Linked DNA regions of Drosophila melanogaster. The protein of the gene in region 1 interacts with the protein of each later gene in a pairwise test. Each region holds a gene or a part of one and is shown on either strand. Other genes may lie near its edges.

The links.
Region 2: the proteins of prc (region 1) and Gfat2 interact in a two-hybrid assay, tested with the Drosophila melanogaster proteins (one large-scale study listed by BioGRID).
Region 3: the proteins of prc (region 1) and Scp1 interact in a two-hybrid assay, tested with the Drosophila melanogaster proteins (one large-scale study listed by BioGRID).
Region 4: the proteins of prc (region 1) and CG4998 interact in a two-hybrid assay, tested with the Drosophila melanogaster proteins (one large-scale study listed by BioGRID).

The regions. Positions count from the first base shown.
Region 1 is NT_037436.4:11,959,583-11,968,786, reverse strand, and holds the start of prc (pericardin), read left to right. Parts: upstream 1-2,655; 5' UTR 2,656-2,734; intron 2,735-3,545; 5' UTR 3,546-3,609; coding exon 3,610-3,681; intron 3,682-3,923; coding exon 3,924-3,982; intron 3,983-4,048; coding exon 4,049-4,152; intron 4,153-4,214; coding exon 4,215-4,379; intron 4,380-4,435; coding exon 4,436-7,738; intron 7,739-7,792; coding exon 7,793-8,333; intron 8,334-8,397; coding exon 8,398-8,523; intron 8,524-8,893; coding exon 8,894-9,204. Other genes in the region: Muc68E (mucin 68E), read left to right, coding at 1-1,207.
Region 2 is NT_033777.3:28,335,730-28,342,052, reverse strand, and holds Gfat2 (Glutamine:fructose-6-phosphate aminotransferase 2), read left to right. Parts: upstream 1-2,287; 5' UTR 2,288-2,506; coding exon 2,507-4,183; intron 4,184-4,385; coding exon 4,386-4,760; 3' UTR 4,761-5,034; downstream 5,035-6,323. Other genes in the region: Moca-cyp, read right to left, coding at 594-681, 1,315-1,618.
Region 3 is NT_033778.4:2,964,327-2,970,201, reverse strand, and holds the start of Scp1 (sarcoplasmic calcium-binding protein 1), read left to right. Parts: upstream 1-2,149; 5' UTR 2,150-2,218; intron 2,219-2,857; exon of another isoform or gene 2,858-2,885; intron 2,886-3,010; 5' UTR 3,011-3,055; coding exon 3,056-3,107; intron 3,108-5,875.
Region 4 is NT_037436.4:16,336,117-16,345,403, forward strand, and holds CG4998 (uncharacterized protein), read left to right. Parts: upstream 1-2,886; 5' UTR 2,887-3,032; intron 3,033-4,319; 5' UTR 4,320-4,327; coding exon 4,328-6,100; intron 6,101-6,488; coding exon 6,489-7,370; intron 7,371-7,677; coding exon 7,678-7,976; intron 7,977-8,041; coding exon 8,042-8,645; 3' UTR 8,646-9,125; downstream 9,126-9,287.

The DNA.
Region 1 (9,204 bases):
CGCCCAGGACACAACTAATGATCCTGAAGGGAGCACCACGAGAGAGGAAGACACAACTGTTGCAATCGAGACAACTACCGAAAAACCTGAGGATGATACAACTGTAGAAGATTCAACACCGATTCCTGAGGAAACTACCACTGTCGGCCAGGAAACAACTTATGATCCTGAAGGGAGCACCACGAGAGAAGACGACACAACTGTTGCAATCGAGACAACTACCGAAAAACCTGAGGATGATACAACTGTAGAAGATTCAACACCGATTCCTGAGGAAACTACCACTGTCGCCCAGGAAACAACTTATGATCCTGAAGGGAGCACCACGAGAGACGACACAACTGTTGCAATCGAGACAACTACCGAAAAACCTGAGGATGATACTACGGCAGAAGGTTCAACACCGATTCCTGACACATCTACTACTGTTAACCAGGACACAACAACAGACGAAAGTAGCACTGTTGTGACTACGACGAATATTCCCAAGGAGAGCACAACGTTAGGCGATTCTACCCTATCACCGGGAGAAAACAGTACTGCAGGACAAGTTTCTACAAGTACCACGCTAGTATACGATACCACGAGTAGTCCAATTCCATCTTCCTCAAGATCCACAACCTTAGAACCCTCATCAAGTTCTTCCCCTGAAACCACAACTTCAAGTCTACCACCATTGTCTTGCAGTACCGGGTATCAATATTTACCCCATCCAACAAATTGTCATAAATATATTCACTGCAGCAACGGGCATGAACTAATTATGGAGTGCCCAGCTAATCTTTATTGGGACTATCATAAATTTGTTTGCAGTGGAGATTCAGGTGTTTGCTACAACGACACTGAAAATTCCAATCCAGAGGAGAAGGTTTGCGGACCTGGAGTGGATTTCCTTGCACATCCAACGGACTGCACCATGTATTTGCAGTGTAGTAATGGCGTGGCATTGGAGCGCAAGTGTCCAGATCCGCTGTATTGGAACCCGGAGATAAAGTCATGTGATTGGTCCAATAAATATTGCACAAATCTTCGGGCGAGTCAATCGATTTCTTGCGCAGCGGGCATGAATTTTAACGTTTTTCAAAGCGATTGCTCCAAATATGTCAAGTGTTTTGGCCTGAGAGGTGTTGTAATGAGCTGTAATTCAGGACTTTACTGGAATCCCGTTAGTCAAGTTTGCGAAAAGTCCCGGCGATTCTGCACATAAGAGTAAGTCCAATTAAAGTAGACAAAATTTTAATAAATAACATGCGGACACTTTTTTTCAGGAGCAGTGCAACGGCATTATTCATTGGACAATATTTACCTAAGAAATGAATAAAAAGATTGCGAATTATTAAAAATTTATTTATACTGTGGAAATTACAAATCGATTAATTAAAGTTAGCAAAATTATTAATATAATGAAACAGAAACTGAATGTTAAATTCCTATTGTTGTATATAAAAAAAAAAAAACACATTCAATCGCATTTTTATTTCACTGGGGTTTTTTTTTTAGATGATCTAAATAGATATTTTTGGATGCATGCAAATTTATTTCAATAGACTGAGACACTTTGGTAATGAACTACCCTATTGTTATAGAAACAAAAGGTAGTCTCAAATTCATCTCAAGGTGTTACAAAAAATTGGTCTCAATATAAATTCTTATTACGATGTAATAAAAATTTCATAGCACTTTATTCCCATTAAAATTGGAAAACAAGGTTAAAGATATTTTTAAGTGCAATTGTATCTAGTAAAATAAGTAATGGGTACACTGTAGCCGGATTATTTGCTTTCCACAGTTCCTAGGCCTTTTTCGTAGATCTTATCAATCTAGGTTTCAATTAAAAATATTACTAGCCTTGAAACACACCCCATACAGACGATGGGTATTCAAAAATTGAAAATTTAATGCTTCAGTTCAATTTAACACATGGTTTCATAGAAGCTCTTAGCAGATAAGGGTATAAAGCCGAATTCAACATTGAATGGGGGCTGGTAGAGACTGCTCTATATATAGATATGACGATGGGTAGTCTAAACAGAAAGCGAAAGCAAATAGTTAGTCTCAAAGGTTATCTGATTAAATTACTTCCGCCAATTTTTGATTTGTAGAAATAAATAAGTGGCTTGGGAAATCCAAAGCCCAATCGATAAAGCCTTCGCCAGATGCAAAGAGAGCACATACAAGTCAAGTGAATGAGTGTGGGCAGGGACACACTTGAAATGTATCCAAGAGATACACAATTGCGTATCTTTATATGCTAATAAATGCCAGTACATTTCCCTAAAATGGGTCAAAAGAGTCCCCCATCCGTTGGCATAGACTACGATGTTGTAATGCCCATAGAAACTCATTTGTCGAGGGGGACGTCAACGCGCCGCCCCTTCCATCGGCAGGCCAAGCCAGACCAAGTGATCGATTGACACGATCAAAGCGCTGATACGTAATGGAATAGACACTCGAATGAATAGCACTGGCGACGAGCTCCCAGCTCGGGCTCCAAGTGCCCTGATCCGCCTCACAGATACCAGCACTCTGCGCTGGTGTGGATCCTACATAAATATTCATGCTGGCCAAATGCAAATGTATTGGAAATTGCTCGCCTTCAATGAATTTGAGTTCTGCTCAAGCTCTAGAGTTTTGATGCTCGTACAGGGCAGCGTTATTCGCAATCCAGCAGTTGTCGCGATCGGAAGCAAATCGGAAAATCTCCATTGGATTCCTAGAACACGCAGCCGAAAAAGTATGTGCCTAGGATGTGTGCCCTCGCAGCAAGGACATAGAGCAAAAACAGCTCTCAAATACAAGGGATTAGTGAAGAAATAAGATAACAAAACATCCTATTAATTGTGCATTACGAAACGGATTACAACTTGTAGAGTTTTATTTGATAAAATTTAAATGTGAATTTCTATATGCAGTGAAATTGAAATCAACCAAAATACAGGACCTTATATCATTAGTAAATGGTCAAAAAGAACAATAAGTGTGTAAATTATAATGTGTGCAAACTAAGAATCTTGTACTAATCGAATCATTGACAACATCTAAACACAATTATGTGAAGATTAAATTTTCTTCCCAAATTTATTAAATATTTCTATATTCAAATATAAATATGTACATTCTGTAACAATTCATATTCGCCAGGATAATCACACAATTATCCTTTCGAAGTGTAAAGTGCTTATGTGACTTTCTTGTATTTTTTACATATAAAAATCAAAATAAAGATGTGAAAAGCGAAAGATATCAAAAAGGATATGTACATATGTATGATTTCAGACTACAAATTCAAACACGTTTGTGTCAAGAACTAAAATTCGAAACTTACATTAATCAGCCTTAGCGATTACATCACTCGCAAGACTGAAATATAACTCAAGATCGATTGCCTTTTTTTTGGCATCTAATAGCACAGCGTGCGTGCTCATTTTAAAGAAAAGTGATAACCTCTGAAAGTGACGGACAAGAAACACAGAGAAGGAGTATAAACTAATAATAACACGCATCTATATGGTGTATTGATAATACAATTCAATTTCATCTTACAGTTTGCTGGTTGTGTTGCCGCGACGTCGACGCCTTTCAATTGGATTCAGGGTTTAATTTATTGAAATGTTGCCCTTTCGCTTGGGCCTGCTACTTGGCGCCGTGCTATTCGTGGCAAGCGCAAATGGAGCTGCCATCGTAAGTTTCCGAATTGTTAATGAATCTCCCCGAGAATTGTTGCTTCTCTGTGTGTGTTGAATGGAACTAGAGTAGTGTAATGTAAATGAACTCGGTTCGAAAAGTAGGCGATAAGACATAATTTGACCAAGGTCAGTTTCTTACAAGCAGCATCTAATCGGGCACACTTGCACAGACCCTTTGAATGAATAAAGATTAGACTGACATTAGCATTGAATTTAAATCGATGTATTAACTTTCAGGAAAATGAGGTTTCTAGTCTGAACGACTTGCAGCGGGAAAAGAGAAGCGGCAGAGGCTAGTAAGTAGTTGGTTAACAACTATTTTGGACCAGATGGGCTTACTTCCTTTCCATGTTTATCCGCAGTTCGAGGGGACAAACCCAGTCTCAGTACTTAAATTTCGGTAAGCCTGAGGAGGATGGAAAGGCTGAGGCAGAGGCTACCGAAAATGGATCTCGCTCCACTGTGTGTGAGTACGGGTCAGATGAGATTCATTAGCACTTTGTCCATTGACCTCTTGACCTCTTTCAGCTGGCACCCATGGAATGGGTCAGGCTCAGAGCCAGTTCTCATCAGGGGACTGCAATGGATGTTCTGGCTACCAAACGGATTACCCTTCTTCAGGCAGAATTCTTGATGCTAGTGGATCCGGAGGCATCGGTAGACCCGATTCCATTATAAGCTTACCCGGAGGTGGTAAGTCGTATATAATCAAAATGTATACAGTTTGATATATGTTGCTCTCCCTGAAGTTGGCGGACAAACCGGAGCTGGACAAGCCGGATACGGAAGCCAACTTGGAGTTGGCGCTCAGGCCGGTGCCGGACAACCCGGATACGGTGACCAACCTGGAGTTGGCACTCAACCTGGAGTCGGACAGCCCGGATACGGAAGCCAACCTGGTATTGGCGGACAGACTGGAGCCGGACAGCCCGGATACGGAAGCCAACCTGGTATTGGCGGACAGACTGGAGCCGGACAGCCCGGATATGGAAGCCAACCTGTGGTTGGAGCTCAGACCGGAACCGGACAACCCGGATACGGTGCTCAACCTGGAGTTGGCACTCAGACTGGAGCCGGACAGCCCGGATACGGAAGCCAACCTGGTATTGGCGGACAGACTGGAGCCAGACAGCCCGGATATGTAACCCAACCTGGAGTTGGAGCTCAGACCGGAATCGGACAACCCGGATACGGTGCCCAACCAGGTATTCTTGGACAGACTGGAGCCGGACAGCCCGGATACGGCAGCCAGCCTGGTATTGGCGGACAGACTGGAGCCGGACAGCCCGGATATGGAACCCAACCTGGAGTTGGAGCTCAGACCGGAACCGGACAACCCGGATACGGTGCCCAACCTGGAGTTGGCACTCAGACTGGAGCCGGACAGCCCGGATACGGCAGCCAGCCTGGTATTGGCGGACAGACTGGAGCCGGACAGCCCGGATATGGAACCCAACCTGGAGTTGGAGCTCAGACCGGAGCCGGACAACCCGGATACGGTGCCCAACCTGGTGTTGGCGCTCAGACTGGAGCCGGACAGCCCGGATACGGAAGCCAACCTGGTATTGGCGGACAGACTGGAGCCGGACAGCCCGGATACGGAAGCCAACCTGGTATTGGCGGACAAACTGGAGCCAGACAGCCCGGATATGGAAGCCAACCTGGGGTTGGAGCTCAGACCGGAGCCGGACAACCCGGATACGGTGCCCAACCTGGTGTTGGCGCTCAGACTGGAGCCGGACAGCCCGGATACGGAAGCCAACCTGGTATTGGCGGACAGACTGGAGCCGGACAGCCCGGATATGGAAGCCAACCTGGGGTTGGAGCTCAGACCGGAGCCGGACAACCCGGATACGGTGCCCAACCTGGAGTTGGCGCTCAGACTGGAGCCGGACAGCCCGGATACGGCAGCCAGCCTGGTATTGGCGGACAGACTGGAGCCGGACAGCCCGGATATGGAACCCAACCTGGAGTTGGAGCTCAGACCGGAACCGGACAACCCGGATACGGTGCCCAACCTGGAGTTGGCACTCAGACTGGAGCCGGACAGCCCGGATACGGAAGCCAACCTGGTATTGGCGGACAGACTGGAGCCGGACAGCCCGGATATGGAACCCAACCTGGAGTTGGAGCTCAGACCGGAACCGGACAACCCGGATACGGTGCCCAACCTGGAGTTGGCACTCAGACTGGAGCCGGACAGCCCGGATACGGAAGCCAACCCGGATATGGAACCCAACCTGGAGTTGGAGCTCAGACCGGAACCGGACAACCCGGATACGGTGCCCAACCTGGAGTTGGCGGACAGACTGGAGCCGGACAGCCCGGATATGGAACCCAACCTGGTATTGGTGGACAGACTGGAGCCGGACAGCCCGGATACGGCAGCCAGCCTGGTATTGGCGGACAGACCGGTGGCGGACAACCCGGATACGGAAGCCAAATTGGCGGACAGACTGGAGCTGGACAGCCCAGCTATGGAAGCCAACCTGGAGTTGGAGCTCAGAATGGAGCCGGACAACCCGGATACGGTACCCAACCTGTTATTGGTGGACAGACTGGAGCCGGACAACCTGGATATGGAGGTCAAACTGGAGTCGGTGGATCGCCTGGATTTTTAACTCAGCCAGGTATTGGGGGTATAAGCGGACCGATTGGAGGGAAACTCGGTGGCGGACAATCAGAAGCCGCAAAACCTGGATATTGGGCTCAACCTGGAATTGGCGGACCATCCAGATACGGCAGTCAACCTGGAATTGGTGATCAGACCGGAACCGGACAGTCAGGATACGGCGGGCAGCCTGGAATTAGCGGACAGACCGGAGGCGGACAACCAGGATACGGAGGACAGGCTACAATAAGCGGACTCCCTGGGTATGGCACTCAGCCAGGAATTGGAGCACTAACCGCTGTTCCTGGCGGACATTATGGATACGAAACTCAGCCTGGAATTGGTGGACAGACCGGAACCAACCAACCCGGATTCGGTGGTCAACCTGGAATTGGCGGACAGACTGGAGCCGGCCAACCTGGATATGGATTTATAGGTCAGCCTGGTATTGGAGGGCAAACAGGAACTAGTGGAAGGCAACCCGGTTACGGAACCCAACCAGGAATTGGCGGACAGACTGCAGCCGGACAGCCCGGATATGGAAGCCAAACCGGAGTTGGCGGACAGATCGGAGCCGGACAGCCCGGATATGGAAGCCAACCTGGAATTGGCGGACAGACTGGAGCCGGACAACCCGGATACGGTGCCCAACCAGGTTTTGGAGGACAACCCGGATACGGAAACCAACCTGGAGTTGGCGGACAGACTGGTGCCGGACAGCCCGGATATGGAAGCCAACCTGGAATTGGCGGACAGACCGGAGCCGGACAACCCGGATACGGTGCCCAACCAGGTTTTGGAGGACAACTCGGATACGGAAACCAACCTGGAGTTGGCGGACAGACTGGAGCCGGACAGCCCGGATATGGAAGCCAACCTGGAGTTGGCGGACAGACTGGAGCTGGACAACCCGGATACGGTGTCATACCTGGATTTGGAGGACAACCTGGAATAGGCGGACAGACCGCCGCTGGAAAGCCCGGATACGGTGGTCAACCTGGAATTGGTGGATCACCTGTGTATGGAACACAGCAAGGAACTGGAGGTCAATCAGGAATTAGCGGTGGCCAACCCGGGTACGGAACTCAACCTGGACAAACCGGAGCCGGGCAACCCGGATACGGAAGCTTACCTGGAACAGGTGGTCAGGCCACAGCTGGCCAACCCGGATACGGACCCGGATCTCAACCCGGAATTGGCGGACAGACAGTTGGTGGGCACGGTGGATACGGTAGCCAACCCGGAATCGGTGGAGCGCCAGTTTATGGAACACAGCCAGGAGGTGGCGGCCAAACTGGAGTCATTGGAGGGCAGCCCGGACAGATCGGAGACAGAGTAGGACAACCAGGATACGGAACCCAGACAGGACAAATTGGGGCACCAGGTCGATATACAGATGGAAGTCAAACTGTACCTGGTGCTGTTGGCACCGGTGGAGTTGGTAAGTAGCTATCAAGGCGGTGGAAAACAATGTTTTGAATTGCTCGTTTCCCAGTTGCTGCCGGTACCAGCGGAGCTGACGATGCCTTCTCCCAAGCCGAGTCATCAATTGGCGACGGACAAGCGTCGGCAAGTGCTCAGGGCAAGAAGAATGGAGGCACGGCCAAGACTCAGGTGTCGGGAACTTACAGCTCCGGCGGAACCTTTAGCGCCAGTGCAATGACGTCCGATGCTGATCGTGCGGCCAGTGCACAGGTTACCGGAAATGCTGATGGAGCCGTGAGTCAGTCTCAGGGATCGGGAGGTCCTGCCCAGTCGCAGGCCCAGGTACAGGTTGCCAAGGACGGCGGCACCAAGGCCTCGTCGCAGAGCGGTGGCATCATCCAACAGAGCCAGAGCGAGGTTCACGCCAATGACAAGGGCGGCCTGGCGGACGCCCAATCGAGCGGACCCGGACAAACCTCCTCCCAGGCCCAGATCGGTTTCCGACCCGGCCAGGAGGCCAATCCTATAGCAGCTAATGGTGGCGGCCAGGCATCGTCCTCATCTGGCACTCATTCCAGTCAGAGTAGCTCGCAGATTCACGGAACATCGAGGTAACATTGCTATAGGATTATTGATTATTGACTTTAGCCACTCATTATTGGTTTTGTATTTCAGCTTTGGTGTTTCTTACCATGGTGCTGCACAATCCGCGTCGGGAACCAAAGAGCAGGTTGCTACTTACAGGGAAGCAAACAGGGAACTCTTCAATACCATCAGTCAGTTTGGCAACAACGCAAATGCGTAAGTAATCGGAAAAGTGAAGAAAGAAAGAAAAACATGTTTTGGGCTATTTAAAAAAAGGGATAACGTATGCTTCTGTGGTTTTTAAATTGGCAAAATATGTTCAAAATTGATTTCGAAAAGTCACACACTTTAGCTCAATCAATTTATTGTGATTTTATAACTGCCATGCCTTTATGGAATTCTTTAGCATAAAACGTATTCATTTTTGTATACTTTTTGAGGTTATTTATGTTGGATACATAAACGAATAAATCCTTTAAAATTTCTAACTACTTTTGCTTACTTACTTTTCAAATGGGAAGTGCGTGCCTCTGTAAAATTTATACGATTGTATTTTATTTTCTTTTCTTTAACTTTCAACTTCCAGTGTTACTGATCGAGCTGATGCTGTCTACAGTGGACCCGCGCTTACTGATGAGTCCGACAGGGTGCCAGAGGCGCAACTGAAGTCCACCAAGCCCAAGGAGGAAGCGGAGCAGGTAGTGAGTAAGCTAGACCACCCGGAGCCCGTTCAGTACGATGATGAAGATGAGGCCGATCCTGATGAATACGATGAGGATGAGTACTATGAGGAGAAGCCAGTGAAGCTAGAGGAATCCCCAAAGTCGTCCACCATAGTGGCACCAACCGAGGCAACACCTAGGCCCAAGACCTACAACCAGTCATCACCCACGCAAA
Region 2 (6,323 bases), on another chromosome or scaffold:
TCGGTTGTGGCGGAGACAATGTCATGTGCAACAAAGTTTAAAGGTTTCTAGGTGTGTAGGCAGAGGTGGCACACAGGATTTTGGCAAGCCACCAACCGCAAGAGCCGCTGCCGCTGGCCATGGCCAGCACATTGTCATCTGGCAGATCCATCGTGAGGATCCAGCCCAAGATTCCCGCAAAGATCCACAAGGAGCCGACAGCGAGAGAGAGAGAGATTGAGACACACACTGAGACCCAGGCCCAGGGACCAAAGACCATGGAGCTGAAAGACCTGCATCGTCTTTCGCTTGGTTTTTGGACCCACAGACCAAATGCACTAGGGATGCTGGGATGGCGGTGCATCGGCCGATGGAGGACAGATTGCGATGCATCTGTCCGCTGGTCAGTGGGACGCTAGCTCACACTTTAACGCCCACGGGCTAAGGCTAAATGGCAATAGATTAATGAACAACAACAGTGGTTTAAGTATAGATCAAAAAGAAGACGAAGAGAGTTTAGCTGTAATATCGGTGCCTGAAACAGAACTGAAACTAAATTTACGGCCACGTTAGTCCGGACCAGCCGGTTACGGTCCTCCGTCGAGAGCACTTACATAAAGAACTGCGAGCCATTTGTGTTCTTGCCCCGGTTGGCCATCGACAGCAGGAAGGGACGATCGTGCTTCTTTTCGAAGCTCTCATCTGGAAAGAGGAATCGGATTGTTTAAACCAAATTCACTTTAAATGTTACTTTAAAGCCCAAGAGAGATGAGCAACTCAAGTTATCTTCTAGATAACTTTTTAATGCGCATGTAATTGGATTTCCCAAAGCCGCTTCTATTTGCATATTTGTCCCATTTTCCACCCAAACGTATAATTAGCAATATGTAGATGTATGATGTGCACCATTCCCTTATCTTTCTAATGGAAATATTTGCCAAAATGTAAATTTAAATTGAGTCGCTTGAGTAAACATTTATTTTTGACATTTAAATGGGGCATTTGTACACTTTGGCTGGCATATCAAAAGCGTTTTAATTTTTTTCGACAAAGATTAAACTTAAGTAGATTATTGTAGTGCAGTTTAGATGTAATTGGCTGGAAGTTTTTAAATCTCCAAATGTGGGTGTCTGTATTTACAGTGTTTTTATTACATTTCTCCCCCTACTGACTCTTTATTAATTGCACTTTAAGTACCCTGTATATTCCCTTTCGTTTTCTGTTCTTCTTATCAGATAACCACTGTATTGATTTTTTCCCACACAAACAGCAGCACACACACACAAGCGTGTATGTATGCATGCAGGCATCGAATCGGAAGCCGGAAGAACTCACCCTCGAACGTCCCGCCGTAGATGGACTCGCCGCCGGTGCCGTTGCCCGCAGAGAAGTCGCCCGCCTGGACCATGAAGTCCTTGACCACCCGGTGGAATATCACACCCTTGTACTGCAGCTTCTTGCCGGTGATTAGGCCAAATCCCTTTTCGCCCGTGCAGAGTGCGCGGAAATTTTCGGCCGTTTTGGGCGCCACATCGTTGAAGAGCTCGAAGACAATGCGGCCCATGCCCAGGCCGCCCAGGGAAATGTCAAAGAAGCACCGCGGTCGCGTGGCACCCGCGTCGCGTTTGTTTACCGTCATTATATGCGCCGATTTCTGCCAATAAATGCTGTTTAATACGTATTTCACGCCGTTTTCGAGTTGCACAATGTCGGCGTTGCCAGCTCTACTCAGAACTAGGGATGTCAAAAACATACAGTTAGAAATATCGATGTGCAATATGCTTAGCATATTTTCGGGTATCGATATATTAATTTTAATATATATATTTTCTTAAATTTGTTAATACATACATATGTACGCTCAAATAAACGGTAAACTTTGAGCTATATATAGTCAAAATACACCATTGATTACTCTCAGCAACCAATAATCATTTTATGCTTTTTGGTATAACTTCCAAAACCTTTAGAACATGGGTTGAAAATATTATCTTCAATGCTCATATTTTTGGGAAAAACAGAATGTCGTTTAAACCAACTATGAAATGAGATCTGGCCTTTATGGTCATATTATATTAAGCTTTTTCAGACAATTTACACAGTTAACATCTTTGTATATAGCTTTAAAAGTTTATTATATTATTCAATACATAGTAAAAAAATAATTTATTAAATTACCGTTCCATCCCTGGCTGCAATACGGTCACACAAAGCCAATGTTTACATGGCAGCTCGCGTGTGGCTGTAGCTGTGTGCGTGAGCGAGAGCGCAAGAGCGGCGCGTGTGTGCGTGCGAGCGGGAGAGCAGGGCGAAGACGTGTTCTTTTCGCCGAAAAAGCAAATAATTGGGTTGGTTTATCAGAGAAAAACAAAAAAAATTCCAGCCAGTGTCGCGATAAAAACACGACAATCGCATTGCAGCCGCCTCAGAAGTGTAAGATCAGCCTCAGCTGACCGGAAAGTTAACATTGCGACGTGGAAAACCACGAATCACCAGCAAATTTCAGCAAAAGCAATCGCATTTCAGAATGTGTGGCATATTCGCGTACCTAAACTACTTGACGCCCAAGTCGCGACAGGAGGTCCTGGATCTCCTGTTGCAGGGACTGAAGCGGCTGGAGTACCGCGGCTACGACTCCACGGGCATAGCCATCGATGCGCTGAACTCTGGCGAGGCACAGTCCATAATGCTGGTGAAGCGCACCGGGAAGGTGAAGGTGCTGGAGGATGCGGTGGCGGAGGTGTGTCGCGGCCAGGACTACTCGCTGCCCATCGACACCCACATAGGCATAGCACACACGCGCTGGGCCACCCACGGTGTGCCCTCCGAGGTCAACTCGCATCCGCAGCGATCCGATGAGGATAATAGCTTTGTGGTGGTGCACAATGGCATTATAACCAACTACAAGGATGTGAAGACGCTGCTGGAGAAGCGCGGATATGTATTTGAGTCCGACACGGACACGGAGGTGATTGCCAAGCTGGTACACCACCTGTGGCAGCAGCATCCTGGCTACACTTTCGGCGAGCTCGTGGAGCAGGCCATTCAGCAGCTGGAGGGCGCCTTCGCCATCGCCTTCAAGTCGAAGCACTTCCCGGGCGAGTGCGTGGCCTCCAGGCGAGGCTCACCGCTTCTGGTGGGCATCAAGGCCAAGACCAAGCTGGCCACCGATCACATACCCATCCTGTACGCCAAGGCCCATCGGCCACATGGTCAGCCGCAGCAGCAGGCCTATCAACTATTGCCGCCCGGCGATTGCAACGCCGAGTTTCAACCGCTGGAGCGCAAGGAAGTGGAGTACTTCTTCGCCTCGGACGCATCGGCTGTTATAGAGCACACGAATCGGGTGATTTACCTGGAAGATGACGACGTGGCCGCCGTCAAGAGCGATGGCACGCTCAGCATTCATCGCCTAAACAAATCATCCGATGATCCGCACGCCCGCGAGATCATCACGCTGAAAATGGAGATCCAGCAGATCATGAAGGGCAACTACGACTACTTTATGCTGAAGGAGATCTTCGAGCAGCCGGAATCCGTGGTCAACACCATGCGCGGCAGGATGAGGTTCGATACGCAGACCGTGGTTCTGGGTGGCATCAAGGAGTACATACCGGAGATCAAGCGCTGCCGCCGCTTGATGCTAATTGCGTGCGGCACATCCTACCACAGTGCGGTGGCCACCAGGCAGCTGCTGGAGGAACTGACCGAACTGCCCGTTATGGTGGAACTGGCCTCCGATTTTCTGGACAGAAACACGCCCATTTTCCGGGACGACGTGTGCTTCTTCATCTCCCAATCGGGCGAGACAGCGGACACCCTGATGGCGCTCAGATACTGCAAGCAGCGAGGAGCGCTCATCGTGGGCGTTACCAACACGGTGGGCAGCAGCATCTGCCGCGAGTCGCACTGTGGCGTCCACATCAACGCTGGACCCGAGATCGGAGTGGCCTCCACGAAGGCCTACACCTCCCAGTTCATTTCGCTGGTTATGTTCGCCTTGGTCATGTCGGAGGATCGTCTCTCGCTGCAACAGCGCCGCTTGGAGATCATCGATGGCCTATCGCAGCTGGACGAGCACATTAGGACTGTCCTCAAGCTGAACTCGCAGGTGCAGCAGCTTGCCAAGGAGTTGTACGAGCACAAGTCGCTGCTCATTATGGGCAGGGGCTTCAACTTCGCCACCTGTTTGGAGGGCGCACTGGTAATCCATTTGATAATTTGAGCTATAATTTAATCGAATCTCATTTATGCATCGTAATGCATGCATGGGAACGTAATGATGGAAAATAACCGATGTCAACAATTCACTTAACTTGTTTATTTGCCAAGTGCACTTAAATTAATTATTATGTTTGTCCCACGCTTCATGAGCTGAATTTAATCAATTAACTTGCTCATTGCAGAAAGTCAAGGAGCTGACGTACATGCACAGCGAAGGAATCCTGGCTGGAGAACTGAAACACGGACCACTGGCCCTGGTGGACAAGGAGATGCCCGTGCTGATGATCGTGCTGCGGGATCCGGTGTACACCAAGTGCATGAATGCACTGCAGCAGGTGACGTCCCGCAAGGGCAGACCGATCCTAATCTGCGAGGAGGGCGACAACGAGACCATGTCCTTCTCCACGCGTTCGCTGCAGATCCCGAGGACCGTGGACTGCCTGCAGGGCGTGCTCACGGTGATTCCGCTCCAGCTGCTGTCCTACCACATCGCCGTGCTCCGCGGCTGCGACGTGGACTGCCCCAGGAACCTGGCCAAGTCGGTGACCGTGGAGTAGGCGCCCCAACTATCTGGCTAACTGGCTCGCACCGTCTCAAGAATTCCATTTTAGTATCTGCCTGAGAAAAACAAAACAAACCCTAGCACTTAAGTTAAAATTTTCTGGTATTTTGTCGGATCAAAATCCGAACCCTTAACCCATTTGTGCTCCTTCTGGCTGAAGCCACATATGTTTAACCCCTACATTTGTAGCTGTACTGACCCTTTGTGTTGTGGACCCACTACTTTTTGTGAATGTGCAATTGAAATATAATTATTTCCAGTTTTTCTTTAAAAGTGTTTTGCTGCTTTCAATTAAAAATGGATTGGAAAATGTTTAACCAGTAAATTTGTTTGAAAACGGGAAAAACCAAACAAAGATCTATATGTACCTCACTTTACAAAAAATGCTTATCTGACATTAAACATTTGTTTCAAATGTTTAAAAAACGAGGGCCACGTCACGTTATTGCTTACGTTATGTTAATCACGTTGTAAATTTTAGAAAAAGAAAAATTACATATATATTTAATTCTGATAAAACTAAATAAAAATAAATTCTGATAAAAATAAATGATATTCCGAGCACTTAAGTAGTGTGAAATCGATAAGCCGCATAAATTTGAATGTCCTATTTTCAATTTCAAATCAAGTGGTAAATGGGGAAAAAATAAGTTTGTTCTCGAAAAGTAATTCTTTCTGGAAGATATTTCAAAATCATATTTAAAAACAACATTAAATAAATTAAATCAGTTGCGAGCCGGTTGGGACATCTCTATTAACCGTAGCTATCACATCGGTCGATATCTATCGCAACGCAACGCAAACGAATTGAACAACAACCCTGCTCTTTTTCTTTTGGACCCGTAGAACCACATGTCTGGTAACCGATTTTGATTTTCGTTTCGGCGGTATAATGCTCCAATTAATTGACTAATTGCGGTTAATTGACAAGACAAGTGAACGGCGCAAGTACGGTGCAACCAATAACGCAGCGAGTGTGTGTGCAATTGCGAAAAAACCCGATAAATAATATTCGTAACGTTCTGCCCAGCAGCGCGTGAGTGAGTGCGAGCGAGAGGCAGTGATTCGAGGTGCGTAGTGGTGCGAAAGTGTGTGTGCAAGGAAACCCGCAAAAGCAAAAGCAAAGCAACAATAACAACACACGCACGCACACACACACTTGTGTACGTGTTAACACGCGGAGCGGAAAGTGCGTAGTGAACATACGAAACGTACGAAACAAGAAGTGGGAGAGATAGCGGAATAAAATACAATTCTTGTTTCCATTTCAATCTCCTCTGGTGCGTATTCAAATCAATCTGAACCTTAACTTGTGTATGTGTGTGTGACCGCGTGCATCGTTTTGAAATTCGAGGCGAGCTGCAGTCGAAATCAGCTGTTTTAAAAGGCCCGACCAGGGCGGCACTAACAGCAATGCAGGCCGTTAGCCGAGTGCATTGGATATTGCATAATATTGGGTGAAGCGAAAACAGGGATATTGTGGTAGGCCACAGGGTATAATAAAACCAAATTGTAGCTATAAACGCAGTTTCTTTTATTTGCACCTTTAATTCGCTTC
Region 3 (5,875 bases), on another chromosome or scaffold:
CTTTTAGAAAGAACAAGTTATAAGTACAATTACGGTTTCTATTCAGTTACAAAGGAGCGACCATTAGAAGTATTCAGAAAAGTGACCCAAACTCGGACCAAAACGAAACAGCCAGACAACACATTTTGAAGACTTATCAAACAGAAACCAGACCTCGGAAATCATAATAAAAAGAAAAGGGAAATACGTAATTATCAATAATAATAGTTCTTAAATTGGCTAGGTCCCAGGTGAAAATACATAGCGGCCACTCCAGATCACGATGACCTGGTCATAATAGAGCAGAGCTCATTGACAACAATAACCAACAAGTCATTGTTTACAAACAAGAAAGAATAAACAAACTGACTACAGTATCTAAAGCTCTAACAATTTCTATACAAAAGGGCAGTTCCGTTCGTTTAGAAATTGCTCTTAGTTTACAAACCCAGATTAGACTCCTAAAAGTAGAAACTGCCATCCAGTGGGCGCGACAAGAGGTCGTAACACACTAGTACTAAATGAAGATGAATTAATTGAAATAGAAAGAATATTTAAGGGAAACAACATGTTATTACTATCGATGAAAGAAGCTATGGCGTTTTCCGAGGTCTCTATTCTACATAATAAGACAACACATTTGTACATCGTAAAAGTCGCAAACTTTATAGAAATACTAAGATATCATTGTAAAACCAATAGTTAAAAACAACAGAACTACAACAACTTAGACTTTCAAGAAATCTTTGCTTTCGAAAATCTTACCTATATATACATATATAAATATGCGATGAGAAAAAAATTGTAAATATAAGAAATTAATTAATTAAATTAGTTGATTGCTCTCCAAATTTAGTTCTGGGAAAGAAAGATCTGTGTAGTTTTAGCAACTCCGACAACTTATCCAGAATGGAAGAGGTCGACGACGGAATCATCCTATTAAACGATTACGATGGAATCATATCCTGGATCCTCACAGAGCTTCACCTACTTTGTTTAGCTATCAAACGACTCGATGATTATCGACAACAGGGGGATTCGCCAACTTGGAACCTACAGCCCTGTCTCCTAGTTCGCCTCTTGTACAATTTACAGATGAAGAAAAAGAAAGACTGAGGTTATATCTCTTGAAACACTGAACCGTTGCATATACATAAAAGGCCAACAGCATAACCCTACTGACGCTCTTCGACAATACTCTGATTATCATCCTGGGCCTTCACACCTATAGTCAAAGGAAGAGAAGCATAAACTTGCAGCTTAGACCTATACCGGGAATGGAAACAAAAGTTAACATCAGCTACCTCAGTTCAATAACATTCCCTACATAAATTAGAAAGTTAAAGTTAATAACAATGAATTCAACATCGGTCTACAACAGAATGTAATAGAGTAACAAACCCCAAATATGCAAGCTCAGCGCCACCAAGCAGATTTCCCAAAATGTGTTTGGCAATTGTTTCCGCTCCCACCAGCGCTTGTGATTCCAAGAAGCCGACGTCGATCCTCTGCCAATAAGGACAGCACAGCCGACAGCTAAAGACTCGCAGCTTATAAAGACGATGTTCTCACTTAAGTTTATAGTCCAACTCTTTTAATGCTCGTTACTCATAGAGTAAAAGGGTATACTAGATTGGTTGAAACAGGCAGAAGAAAGCGCTTCCGACAATAAAATGTATATATATTCATGATCAGGATCAATGTATCGATTTGCAAAAAAAAATTTTGCCACGCCTACTCAAACGCCCCAAAGCCGACAAGCCGGTCACCCCCGCACTTTTGAAAAATTGTTAGATATTTTTCATAATTTTATTGGTCGTGTATATTTCTATTGATTTGCCAAAAAACTTTTTGCCACGCCCACTCAAACGCCCTAAAGCCACCAAACCGGTCACGCCCACACTTTTTTAACAATTTTTTATTTTTTTTTCATTTTATTTTTTTTCTAATATCAATCAATCAATCGATATCAATCGATTTTCCAGAAAAATTATGAACTTTCGCGTTAGCATTGACCCTAGCTTAGTTACTGGTATCTGATAATCAGGGAACTCGACTATAGCCTTCTCTCTTGTTTTATATTATTATACCCGTTACACGTAGAATCAACGAATCTAATTTTACTCTACACGTATGGGGCATAAAAACATATATATATTTTCTTATATGTATATATATTGTTTTTATATAATATTATATCTTAACAGTAATAGACAACTATAGACCGCCGATCACAATGGTAATAAGACATAAAACTGTACATTTGAATGTTGAATATTGTATCTCCTATATATGTATATGTATATGTACATAAAACCGAAAATAAGAATTGTGAGTTTTATAAAATGTGTGCTTTATAATAGGTTATGCATGTACTATAAATATATACTTGTGAATATACATGTGTGTAAGCTTGCAAAAATAGTAAATATTTTTCTATTAATAATCATGTCAATTAATTATCAATTCTTTAAATGTTAAAATGATTTTTGATATATTTTACTATTAGTGTTCAAATACAAAATTAAATAGGGGTGAATTGTTCGCTTTTTTTCCATTTTAAATGGTTAATTAGAGCATAATCTATATGGAAACTTTCACGAATAACATTGTAACAGGTAGGCTTAATATTTGGTAGTAGAAAACTGAATTGTTATTGATTGTGATTTCAAAACAGTGCTATAGTTTACTTAATACAATAATTACATTTAGTACAATGGAAACTCCTAATTAAAAATAAACTACCTTTTGAAAGAGAACAAATATATACAAATGCACTTTCTATACAATACACATTTGTATGTATAATGTTTAGATACATACCATGTAAATAATGTTGCCAAAGTGTACGACTTTTGGCAAAAGGTTTAGCAAATTTAGTTAGTCTGAAGTAAGCTATTCCGAAGGTAAGGAGCTCATATTTACTATTCAAGAACTTTTTACCTAAAAGTACTATTTATAGATACCAAAAAATTTTAATTTATTTATAGACTTTTATTAGTTCAGATAGTAATGGTATTTCTACTTTTAGCTATTTACATTTTATGAGGATAAGCTCCAAACAAATTCCGTCATAATGGCTTATTCCTGGGATAACCGTGTCGATTTTGTCGTTCGGTATATGTATGGTGAGTAGAAAAGGACTTAGGCTTATTAAACGTATCCTATAGTGAATTAAAATACCTTAAAAATTTACGTATATTTTATACAAAAAATTTAAGTTTATATTCCATTGCATTGAATACATAAAGCCATTTTTATACATATCTTCGGAACTATCCGAAATCCGATATTTTAACAATATATACATTTTATTTTAATTTTATTTAATATGGGACGACTATATCATATAGCTGCATTAAGAACTGCTTGAAAATTAAACACCCAAAATAGAATATAAATAAAAGTTTCGTTTTTTAACACTATGGGTGCTAAGTAGACATATATGTTTTTGTAATTACTGAAAGGGTATTTGGATAGGATTAATCAAATTTGCAAGCGCACAAATACAATAAAAATAACATTTACAATTGCTGCGGATCAGATTTATGTAACAATCTCAAGTCTGGCAATTTAAATGTTGCGCCATATTTATGATGTAGTTTTATAATCCGTTAAAATGAGGTCACATGGAACCGGTCAAGTGGTCATTGCAGCTTATATGAGGTTAAGCCAAAGACATTTGAAGAACAAGATGCGTAACGCCATACAATTTTTTGCACACAATTTTATCGGGATGGCTCCAGAGGTGGCTCAGCAGTTCTTTTCTACGCATACAGTGACAGCCGACAACTGTATGGTAATGCATTGTAAATTTGACAATTTACAAGTTCATAGACTTTACATCTGTATTATCTTTGTTTAATTGGCAACATGTAAAAAATTCTTGGCTTGCATGGCCTTAACCAAAGACCCTAGTGTCTAGTTTCTTTGCCTTAACTATATTATTATTTGAATATATATGTACATAATATCACAAAATAAATTTCAAAGATGACTATATTAGAACAAAGGTTATTAGGGCGTTCACTTGCCCCTTGTGAAAAATTAATAAGGCAATCATTGTTGCAATAAACGTGTTCGTGTCTCAAGATATGACTTTTGCAATAAAAAGTTTTCATATTTTTATTCATTTTATAAATATTTATTTTCTACTACTTATTATTTTTGTGAAATATCTTTTCCTCAATGTAATGACTTCTTTTTGGAAAAGTTATGTTTTAATTTAAAATTTTATTATTTTATTTTATTATCCGTTTGATTAAAGCTGACTATACGCCGAGCTTCTCTATTTTTTGAAAGTTTCGCTATATAACCTAGTTTATATATTTAATTAAAGTCGTTTTGTTGCAATATCGTACTTTAGGTGATATATTCAAGGTGTAAATTCGTAATTATTATTTTATTTTATCATATTGCTAAGAAATTGGGTATACTAGGGTATACTAGACTCGTTGAAAAGTATGTAACAGCCAGAAGGTAGCGTTTCCGACTATATAAAGTATATATATTCTTAATCAGGATCAGTAGCGGACATGTCCATCTGTCCGTATGAACGTCGAGATCTCAGGAACTATAAAAGCTAGAAGGTTGAAATTAACCATACAGGTTCTAGAGATAAAGACGCACACTCATTTTTTCATATTTTTATTAGGCTTTAAAATTTCTATGGATTGGCCACAAAACTCTTTGCCACGCCCACTCTGACGGCAGGTTACAGCTAGGTTATGTTGATCATTAACCGAAATTATATTAGGCTAAGTTAAGCCGAGCTTTAAATCTCTCTAAATGCCTATGGGACTCTTGTGGACTCCAAATGGCAACCTCAACTTCACTTGGTCGTAGGGAAAATATTTCAGAGTGTTCAGACAACACGGTTTTCGAGTGTTCGCTTGGATCTCCAATCGCTAAGCTATGAAATCACTGAAATCTATATTCATTGTTAATGGTTTACAATATTAATCTTTGTGCAAATTAAAAGTGTTCCTTTTTAATTATTTGAACAAAAAATTTTTATTTTATTATAATTTAATATTTTATTCATGATAGACCTTTTCACTTATACTATTACAAGACATTCTTTTTATCTCTTGTCTTAAATTTAAAACTGTTCACGATCTCGTCCCGATTCAGACTGATCTTCTAAATATTAATCCTAATCCACTCAACCTTGGCCAGAAGCTTTTCTTTAGGATTTTCTTGAACTGTAAAATATGTTTAGGGTAAAAGCTTTATACTGAAATTATTTCACAGCATTGTGAAATTCAAATTTGTTGACTAGTGTTTACTTTAAGTTTGGTTATTCATCGGGTGGCTAAGTGATGGCGACTAAACGAGGACAAAGGAAATGCTGATGAGATTGGAGTTTTAAATTTGTTTATCAACTGGGTCAGAGTGCTATATTTACGGGTTGGATAACTTGCACATTTGTGCTTTTAAGTCAACTCGCACGTCCACGACGGTTGCGAGTTTCTTACAACTGCTGCTTCTCAGCGCTTGACATTTAAACGATTGACATGTGAGAGATAGCGGGAGCACAATACTACTGTTATAAGCTGGCGGTACAATATATACATTTACATATAAATGCAGTGGTTCATACAGATGCTGGGTTTCTTTGGTTTTTGGAGCATTATCTACGGCGTAGGTAAATCTGGGCGCAGGGTCGAAATAATATTTTCGAACTTACGGCACGGCGGCAACATTTTATTTGTCGACTTAACACATATTAATATTTCTCCTATTTGTTTTCCATAAAAAAGATAATCTTTTAAATATTTATCTATTAATATGAAAATTTATTTTTGTAAGGATAAGCTAACATAATAATGGGAGGGTGAGTAGCCAATTTTAATGGCCCACTATAAGTCTAATGATTCTAAACTAGAAATTGTTC
Region 4 (9,287 bases), 4.4 Mb from region 1:
CTGCACTGCACTGGAGTGCATTATTATGCAAGCCCCCAACAAATCCAACCATGCGATGCTGGCCACAAACTTGAATGGGGTTTCCCCAAGGCCCAAAGCGGTTTAAGCCGGCAGCAGGCAATCAAGAATTGAATAGGCCAACAATGCGAGACCAAAAACTTCAGTTCGGTTTTCTTGGGATTTTCCAGCGGCGGATTGGCGAATACTTTTTGGGCAAATCCATGGCACAATTGCAGATGCAGTAAAAAAGCGAAATGCAATTGCAGGCACTGGAAAAATTGTTATGTTCCAAATATATAAGTAAGTCAGAAAAATGATATAGTTAATTAGTAAAGTACTTAATCGTCTATGATTATTTTTAATGTTTGGAAAAAGTGCATATCCGCTGATATGTATCAAAAAACAAAATTCATAATTTATTAAAATATATAAATTAACAAATTAATAATTATAAATTAATGTAAGGAGCTTAAACTAAACCCAATATAATATAAAGATATTTTCTAACTATCTTATTAAATTTCAATCGCCTTACTACAATTTTGTGTGCTGCTTTGATTTTATTTCCCCTCAAAAGTTAAGCTCTAAATCCATAATCGATATACGATGTATGTAGTTGGCTTAAAGAGATTGGCAAATTGTCTTTAGCCAAATGGTGCGTGTGGGTGGAAGACCTCAACTTGTTGAGCAATTGACACAAATCTAAGTCAGGGAGTCGGCACTTCAGCCTTGAGCCAGTGACAATATTTATTTTTTTTTATTGCTTTTGGACTTGAACTGCGACAATTTGGTGTGCGAAGGGGTATAAGAGAGAAAGGTATGGTGAGCGAAAGAGAAGGAGAGAGTGATTCAGTCGGAGGAAGCTAACAAAGTAGAGCAAACACGATTCCCACACAAATCCATTTGGACAAACAATTAACAAGTTGGCCATAATCAACATAGGCTATGTTGTAATAGTGCGGCCCAAGAAATGTGCAAAATGTTGGAGCGCACCATAAATAGATATGAGTATATACCAAATCCGAAATGCAGATCCAATAACAAGCCCCTGAACCTGTAACCCCATCGGATTACAAACTGTCCACCTGGCATTAGTTGTCTCCGGCGAGGTCCAAGTTCAAGTTCAGTTCATCACTCACTGGGATTTACCAATAGCCAAGTTTCAGCTAACTACCAAAATTATTTTTATCAGGAAAATCATTGTAGATAGCAATTAGCCGCATTCGTAGATACACTGTAATAGATGAGATTAAATTAAAACTTATAAAAACGTATAAAATCAACACATTATTTATATTGTTCTGCAAATATCAGGTTGTTTGAATGTTATCTAAATATTTATATTTAAATAAGATATGAAGCTTTTAAGACCTAATGAGTTATTAATCATGTATGCTAGTTTTCAGACCAGAGTATAACAAACGAAAATAGATGTATTAGTTACTGAAACGTACATTTAAATAAGTTTGATATTTACATTCGGAAAACCCTTTATAGATATTATATTAACAATGTATTAAAATCGATTTCCATCTTATTGATGTACCCCCAAAAAAAGGTAAGCCAAACGGAATTAAAAACGATGCAAAATAAGGTTCGTCGCACCTCCTTCGAAAAGCCCAAAGTGCTCGATAGTATGAGTCATAAAAAACCCGATGGTCAAAAACTACGCCACACGCTACGCTGATTGATAAAAACTTCGTGAATTAATCGCGAGCAAATAGCCAAAAGGTGTTTGGCAAACAGCCCAGAGTGGCGACAATAACAACTCCCGAGAAAAATCAATGTGATTAGCATAATTTTCGAAGCTCTGTTGGTCATTATCAACTTTCTTGGAATGCTTAACATAAAACGCCACTTAGGTGGGGGCTAGATGAACGACTGCAGCACATCGAACCAAGGTCAGTAACACAAGTGGAAGCCACTGGAGCCACTGAATCACAATGAGACTCACTCCGGCCGGGCAGCACTGACCATACACAACACAAACGCAAACCTGATAATGATTGGGATTTAAGGTAGTGGCACGCGAACGTGATCATCGTGAATAAGTTTGGGGGGAATGTCTCTAATTTTTATGAACTTCGGGTAATTCCGCCAAGCGCTTTTTACTCACAGTGAGCTAGGTTAAATAAAAAAAACGTTAAAATAAACGAAAATGAAACGAGTGACCGAGCGATGACGTTTGCATTGACCATGGGTTAAAAACCAGGCGATTTGAACTGAACTGCAACCAAAAAGAGAGGCAGATGTATGAAGTAAAAAAAAAATGGGGAAAGATGAATGTATGCCAAAAGATCCGGTTTGAGGCAATGCCCAATTTTACCCTTTTTCACGATGTTTTTATTATTCAGCGGTTGCTACTCTCTGACCCAATTCATAATTGCAGAATTGCATAATCCCGGTTTCTCAAGCAACGCCTTTCCGGGAAGCTAAATTTGGTTATTTAAAATTTGGTAAAATCATAAAAAAAAAAACAAAGCCCCATTTGGATGTTTAAGACAGTCAGTTATGTTTAAGAGATGTGTTGAATGTGATGATAGTTTCTGGGTTTCTTACTGATAATGAAGCTATCATAGTGATATTTCCGCCTATTTCCGCCTCGTTTACTGACCTCCAGTAGTTGGGCAGAATTGGGGATTTGAGGAAAAAACCCAGACGAAAAATCAACACTAACAGCGAAAAAGAGGGGTTGCCAAACATTGTCGCCGTCGCCGCTTTTGTATCTTTTGTTTTGGGCTACCGATTCGCAAACTAAGGCGGTATGAAAGCTAGAAGAAGACGGAATCAATGCAGACAGAGACAGCGAAACGTTGGAGCTTGACGTCGACGGCGCGCATGCACAGCTTTTGTATAAAATGTGCGCGGCCAACGAAAGCGAAATCAGTGAACGATCTGCAGAGCATCGAAGAGCACAATCGGTGCAGAAAGTGAATGAAGTGAAAGGATAAGAGACTCAGTAAATTGCATAAGGATTATCCGGACAACAGTGATAACTAACCAATTGGATTAATAAACTTGACACAAAAAAGGTGAGTGAAGTGAGCGAAATTAGCAAAGTGAACTCAAGTGAACCGAAAGCGAACTAATTTAAATGAATGGCTATTAGATGTGAATTATGAGTCTGCAGCACATGAAATTATGGTTGTTGCAAATATGCCTACATACATACACTTAATAAAAACTCTTGGCCAAGAGCCTCCGCGTCATTAAGCCAATCGAACAAGCGAAACTTTCACTGCGAACACAAAGGAAAAACCTAAAAAAATTTCCCAAACCCAACCAAACGGCAGTTAGCATCGCTTACGAGCACTTCTCGCCAAAGAAAATCCAAGCGAAAAAGTTGCCGGCAATTTGCAATGCAACGCTGCGCACAACTTCCGGCCGAAAAAGCAGGCCTAAAGAAATCCAAAGATACATTTACATAACTGGAAAATATATACTTGAAAAAAATCATAAAAAATAAAATATAACTCGAAATTGTAGTGTGTAATGCCGCTCTAGATGAATCAGATCTGTTTACATAATCATTTAAAATATAAATATATCTTCTTACTTAAGCATATAATTCCGAGTGGCAAAATTATAATTCTGGCTATCCTATTAGTTACTCCTTAAACCAATATTACATTCATAATTGATTTTTTTGTTAAGTGTAGCCGATCTTTTACAAAATCCGCCCTCGCTGTGAGCCGGTGACATAACTGCAATGCAAACGACCATAAAAATAAAGGCTGAAAAGAAAAGTGAATTTTACCAAATAAAAGAGACACGAAGCGGAAAGCGGCTGTCAGGGCGAGAGATCAAGTTGAGCGATGGTCTTCGGTGGGATTGCAGTCGTAGGCTTGCTAAATCTGTAGGAAAATTACCTCATAAATTACGGGGACCTGAAGCCAGCGATCCCCTCGCCATCCCGACTCGCATTTCGAGCAAAAGTAACGTACAAAATCAGGCAATTAAGTGCTACGGTCTGCGACCTCCAATGAAAGTAAAAGTCTTATACGAGAGTCTGAGTCACGGTGAAGATTTCGTGATGCTAACCGGTTTGGGCTTCGGATTCGGTTTTGTTACGGATTGGTTAAGCCAAAGATGGTATGAGGGATCGGTGGCTAGGTGGAGAAATGTAAACTGGCACAATGACTTGGGGTAATGGTGTCAAGCTCGCCACTTATGTCATAACCAATCATGACTAAACCTCTTAATTTATTTTCCACTCAAAAGAAAAGGCGACAAAGATGGTCAATCAATCACTTGATTAATATATCCGTAGATATTAGAGAATTGGTATCCTAAAGTTTTTCTATCTAATCATTTCACAGGCTTCACAATGAGAATAAGAACTAGCCTTTTGGCAGTTGTACTGCTGGCCACCGCCTCCTTGGCCGAGGAATCCAACTGGGGAAATGAGTGGGCGCCCATGGAGGATGCCATGCCCAGTCGCCGATCTGTCGATACCAAGCCCGCCGAACAAGCTGACATTCAGGGACGTTACCTCGTCCACGAGTCCATCCAGAGCAACAGCACCACCCAGATTGACGAGGTCATCGAGCAGCTGATCAACTCCCGCCGTGAGGGTCGTAATCTGGGGGAATACGATGCCGTCTATGCTGATGGCAATATCGATCAGGCTCTGCAGCAGGGAAACGATATGCAGGCCCGCAATCTTATCCGGGATAAGCTGTGTGGATTGGGACTGATGAGCTGCGATGTGGAGGAGAAGCGTCCCTTCTACTCGACCATCTATGCCCAGGGTCCCCCACCACCATCTGGTTTCAGCGGTGGTCCCTATGGTCCGGCTAAGCCCATGCCCCCACCAAGCTACTTCAGTGGTCGTCCACCAATGGGTGGACCTCCTGGATCTTACGGACCTCCGCCAAGCTCCCTGAACTCCTTTGGACCTCCGCCCAGCTCCGTGAACTCCTTTGGACCGCCAAGGAAGGTGGGATACGAGGGACCATACAAGCCAATGTCTGGACCTTACAGGCCATCTGGACCCGGTGGCTACCTGGAGCATCCTCCACCATCCGCCATTGACGGTTCATCCGACGGTATCACCTACACGAAGCCACCACCCGGAGCCCTGATCTATGACAGCAAGCCACCAGGACCCATCTACACCGGAGGTCCTTCTCTGGGAGCTGGACCCGTTTTTACTGGTGCTTCGAATGGAGTTCCTCCATACAACTACGAGAACCCCGAGGGTGGCATCCAGGGTGCAAGCTCTGCTCCCAATGGTTTCTACTCGCAGCAGTCTTCAGCTTCTTCCGCCTCGGCCACATCCTCCAGCACCAAAGTGGTGGTTGGAGCACCGCTCGATGGTCTGCAGCAACATGTGCATCATCATTATCACCATGTTGAAGGTGGCGAGGGAGCAAAGGTTCCCAGTGTGCCAATTCCCATCGGAGCTGGCCAGACCATTAACACCGACTTCAGTGCCCTGGCCCAATCATCTGCCACATACACTCCCTCCATTCAGACTTCTTCCGGATCCAGTTACTCCCAGTCCAATGCCTTCAATGCTGGCTTTAATGGTGCTTCTCAGGGTGGACTTCTTTCGCAGAACGGTTTTGGAATCTCCCAGAAACCCACTGGAGATCTGTACAAACCAAACTCTGGAGATCTCTACAAGCCCAACTCAGGACTAGGAAACTTTGGCAGCAGTTCCTCTGGAGGATTCAGTGGATCGCCCAGCTCCAGTTATCACAGCCAGAATCCCGACTACTACAAGAAGGAGCTGCAAGGTGGAGCATCCAATCAGTACAATGGCATCTCTGGTGGTTACCAGGGTCAGGGTCAGTACCAGAGTGGATATGACACCTCGCGCCAGCAGATCGTCGACTGCCAGTGTGTGCCCATCTCCCAGTGTCCCGCTGCCGATCGCATTGGACGCAAGGAGGATCTCATTCTGCCTATTGATCCCCGCAACCTGGGCAAGGACATTGAGGCTCTGAGTGACGATGCTCTATCCAGCAATGCTACCACTACTGCTGAGGCTAAGAAGGACGAGGAGAAGGCGGACAAGGATGACAAGAAGCGCACCCGCCGCCAGGCTGATCAAAAGGATGACGAAGCAAGCGATCTCTCACTCGATGCTCAAGGGGTAAGTCCATAGAAGTCTATTAGTTTAAGTAGTGCCCAACTAATGCCAAATCACACATGGTTCACATGGACCACTAATCGAGTTTTAGCCAAGCTCCTCCCTCCCACACACACACACATTCAAATCAAACAACAAATCAATCAGTCAATCAACAAATCAAACCAATCTGACAACTGCACCCATCGTTCAACGCTCCAAGCTCAACTAAAATACCAGAGTGCAAATCGGTTCCGATTAGACCAGTCACTAATCCCAGAACTAAACCAGCTAACCAAGCACGACCTTTGTGATCGCACGCCTGCAACCCGAAACATGCAACCTGCAACCGGCAATCAGAAATGGAACTCCACCTCTAGCGTTCTTATGTTTTCCCCTTACCAACAAATAGAGACAGTCCCCGCTCGGAGGATCTCCATTGGCATTGCCCGCTCTCCAGGCCATCGAGCTGATCCAACGCAAAGTGCTGCCCACCTACGGTGTCAGCTTTGGTTTGCCCTATCCCACTGGCGGGTATGGAGGTTATCCCTCGAATATTCTGGGTGATCATGTGCCCGCTCAAAACCCGTACTTCGGTTCGGTGGGTCCAAATGGTCTGAATCTGGGTCTGGTGAATGTGAATCCTCTGGTATCGGTGCAGGTGGCCAAAACAGAATATGGCGAGAAGGTGGTGAAGCCACTGGTCAATCTGCATGTCACTCCCAATGCGAATCTCATTCAGAAAGTGGGAGACTTCTTTAAGCGGAAGCCCACCGAAGCGTATAGTACACATTACCACCATCACGATCATTATAGTGGCTATGAGCACCACGATTACGATCACCATGACCACCACGATCACCATGACCACCACTCGTATCCGCATTTCTATGGAGGAACTGGACCGGGTCTCCATTTCAGTGTGGAAATGGTCCCAAGTACTCCCATATTTGAGTATCACAGTGGGCCTTCTGTTCAGTATCATCACCACCACGAATCGTCTCCCTACGAGAGCTCCTTCAACTCTATATATCCCGGATCCAGTCCCGATTTCGGGGGCTATGGCGAGTACTCACAGCATGTGGAGCGAAGTGCCAATGTGAGCGGTGGTGATACAGACAGGCCATCGAATTCCGGTCGTCGTGGCAAACAGTTGAACCTGGGACCCCTCTACAACATTCCCACTCCGGCTCCTGGTGAGGCAGCTGGCAGTGATCGGATCACTTTCCCACGGGATCGCAGGCGCAGGAGCGTTGAGGATGGTGTGTGGGCGGGAGCAGCTCCTAAGGAGCAGGTAACCATGTGTGGCTAAAGCATTAAAGTTCATTCGAAAGCGTCAATAGAGTACTAAAGTCCATAACTACAAAATTGAAAAATTTCATGAGAAGTTCAGTCCCAAATTATGTAACTATTTTGTAAAACTTTTTAAGAGTCAAAGAACCCCACATTTTATAAATATTCTTAATTGTTTATTGATTAAATCATTGATGGTAATTAGGAAAAGTTATATGGCATTCAAAGTACATTTCAAATCCAGATAAGATTGTACCCATTCCTCCAACATTTATCTAATTGCGATTGCCTTCCTTGATATTTTCCAGCGTGCCTATTATGGAAACCGACCCGTGGAAAAGACCTGCCGCATCAACGAAGTCTGCTGCCGTCGTCCACTGCGTCCCCAGGCTCCTCCCCAGCAATTTGGTCGTTGTGGAGTGAGGAACGCCGCTGGAATCACCGGTCGCATCAAGAATCCCGTCTACGTTGATGGAGACAGTGAGTTCGGCGAGTATCCCTGGCATGTGGCCATTCTGAAGAAGGATCCCAAGGAGTCGATCTACGCCTGCGGTGGCACGCTCATCGATGCCCAGCACATCATTTCCGCTGCCCATTGCATTAAATCGTAAGTTCTAGAGTCATAAAAGTATATTTCACCAGAGCATTAACCAATTGCTTCTTTCTATCCAGTCAAAATGGCTTCGATCTTCGTGTGCGTCTGGGCGAATGGGATGTCAACCACGATGTGGAGTTCTTCCCCTACATTGAACGCGATGTGGTTTCCGTGCACATCCATCCCGAGTACTATGCCGGCACTCTGGACAATGATCTGGCCGTTCTGAAACTGGATCAACCCGTTGACTTCACCAAGAATCCGCACATTAGTCCCGCCTGTCTGCCCGACAAGTATTCCGATTTCACTGGAGCTCGTTGCTGGACAACTGGATGGGGCAAGGATGCCTTCGGCGAGCACGGAAAGTACCAGAACATTCTGAAGGAGGTGGATGTGCCAATCCTATCGCACCAACAGTGCGAGTCCCAGCTGAGGAACACGCGTCTGGGCTATAGCTACAAACTGAATCCCGGATTTGTGTGCGCCGGCGGAGAGGAGGGCAAGGATGCCTGCAAGGGTGATGGCGGTGGCCCATTGGTGTGCGACCGGAATGGAGCCATGCACGTGGTCGGAGTGGTGTCCTGGGGCATTGGATGTGGTCAGGTGAACGTTCCCGGCGTCTACGTTAAGGTCTCCGCCTACCTGCCCTGGATCCAACAGATCACCCAGAGCTATCAATGATTAACGGATCAGCAGACTGACAAGGAGGAGGTGACTGGCTACCATGCGAATATCACCGGATCCGTTCCGGTTGACACCTCCTCCGATGAGTTCGTTTTCCACTTCTGACCGAAGCCATCTTTCAACACTCTCGCATTCCAACTACCGACCGAATCGTTTCGATAGTGGCATTCGTCATCGTATTTATCACTCTTAGTTATTACGGATGTCTCCTTGAATACCTGTTATATTTTGTTATATATATGATTCACTTCCCTTCACTTCACTTGTTGACCCACTCATTAGCTACTCACAGTTGTTGCTCAATTGAAGACGCACTGGCGTCGCGTCACCTTGTCACTTCTTTGATATTAATTGTAACGCGAATCTTGTACACCGAGTTCCGATTTTGTCTTGTAAAATAGTGTTTGTCATAACTTATTTATTTATGTATTTGTAATAAATAATTATGTATTTAAATAAAAAAAAAATAATTTATATAAAAATTGTGTCATTCATAATGGTACTTGGGTGGGGAAACTACTAATGTACAATAAGTTAGTTCGTTATCAAAGGGTTTTAAAATCCGCACATATGGAAACTGGTCTAAAAAATGTTTTCAAAAAGTATGGAGAATCAGCAATTGTAGTATGCATTGGTAAA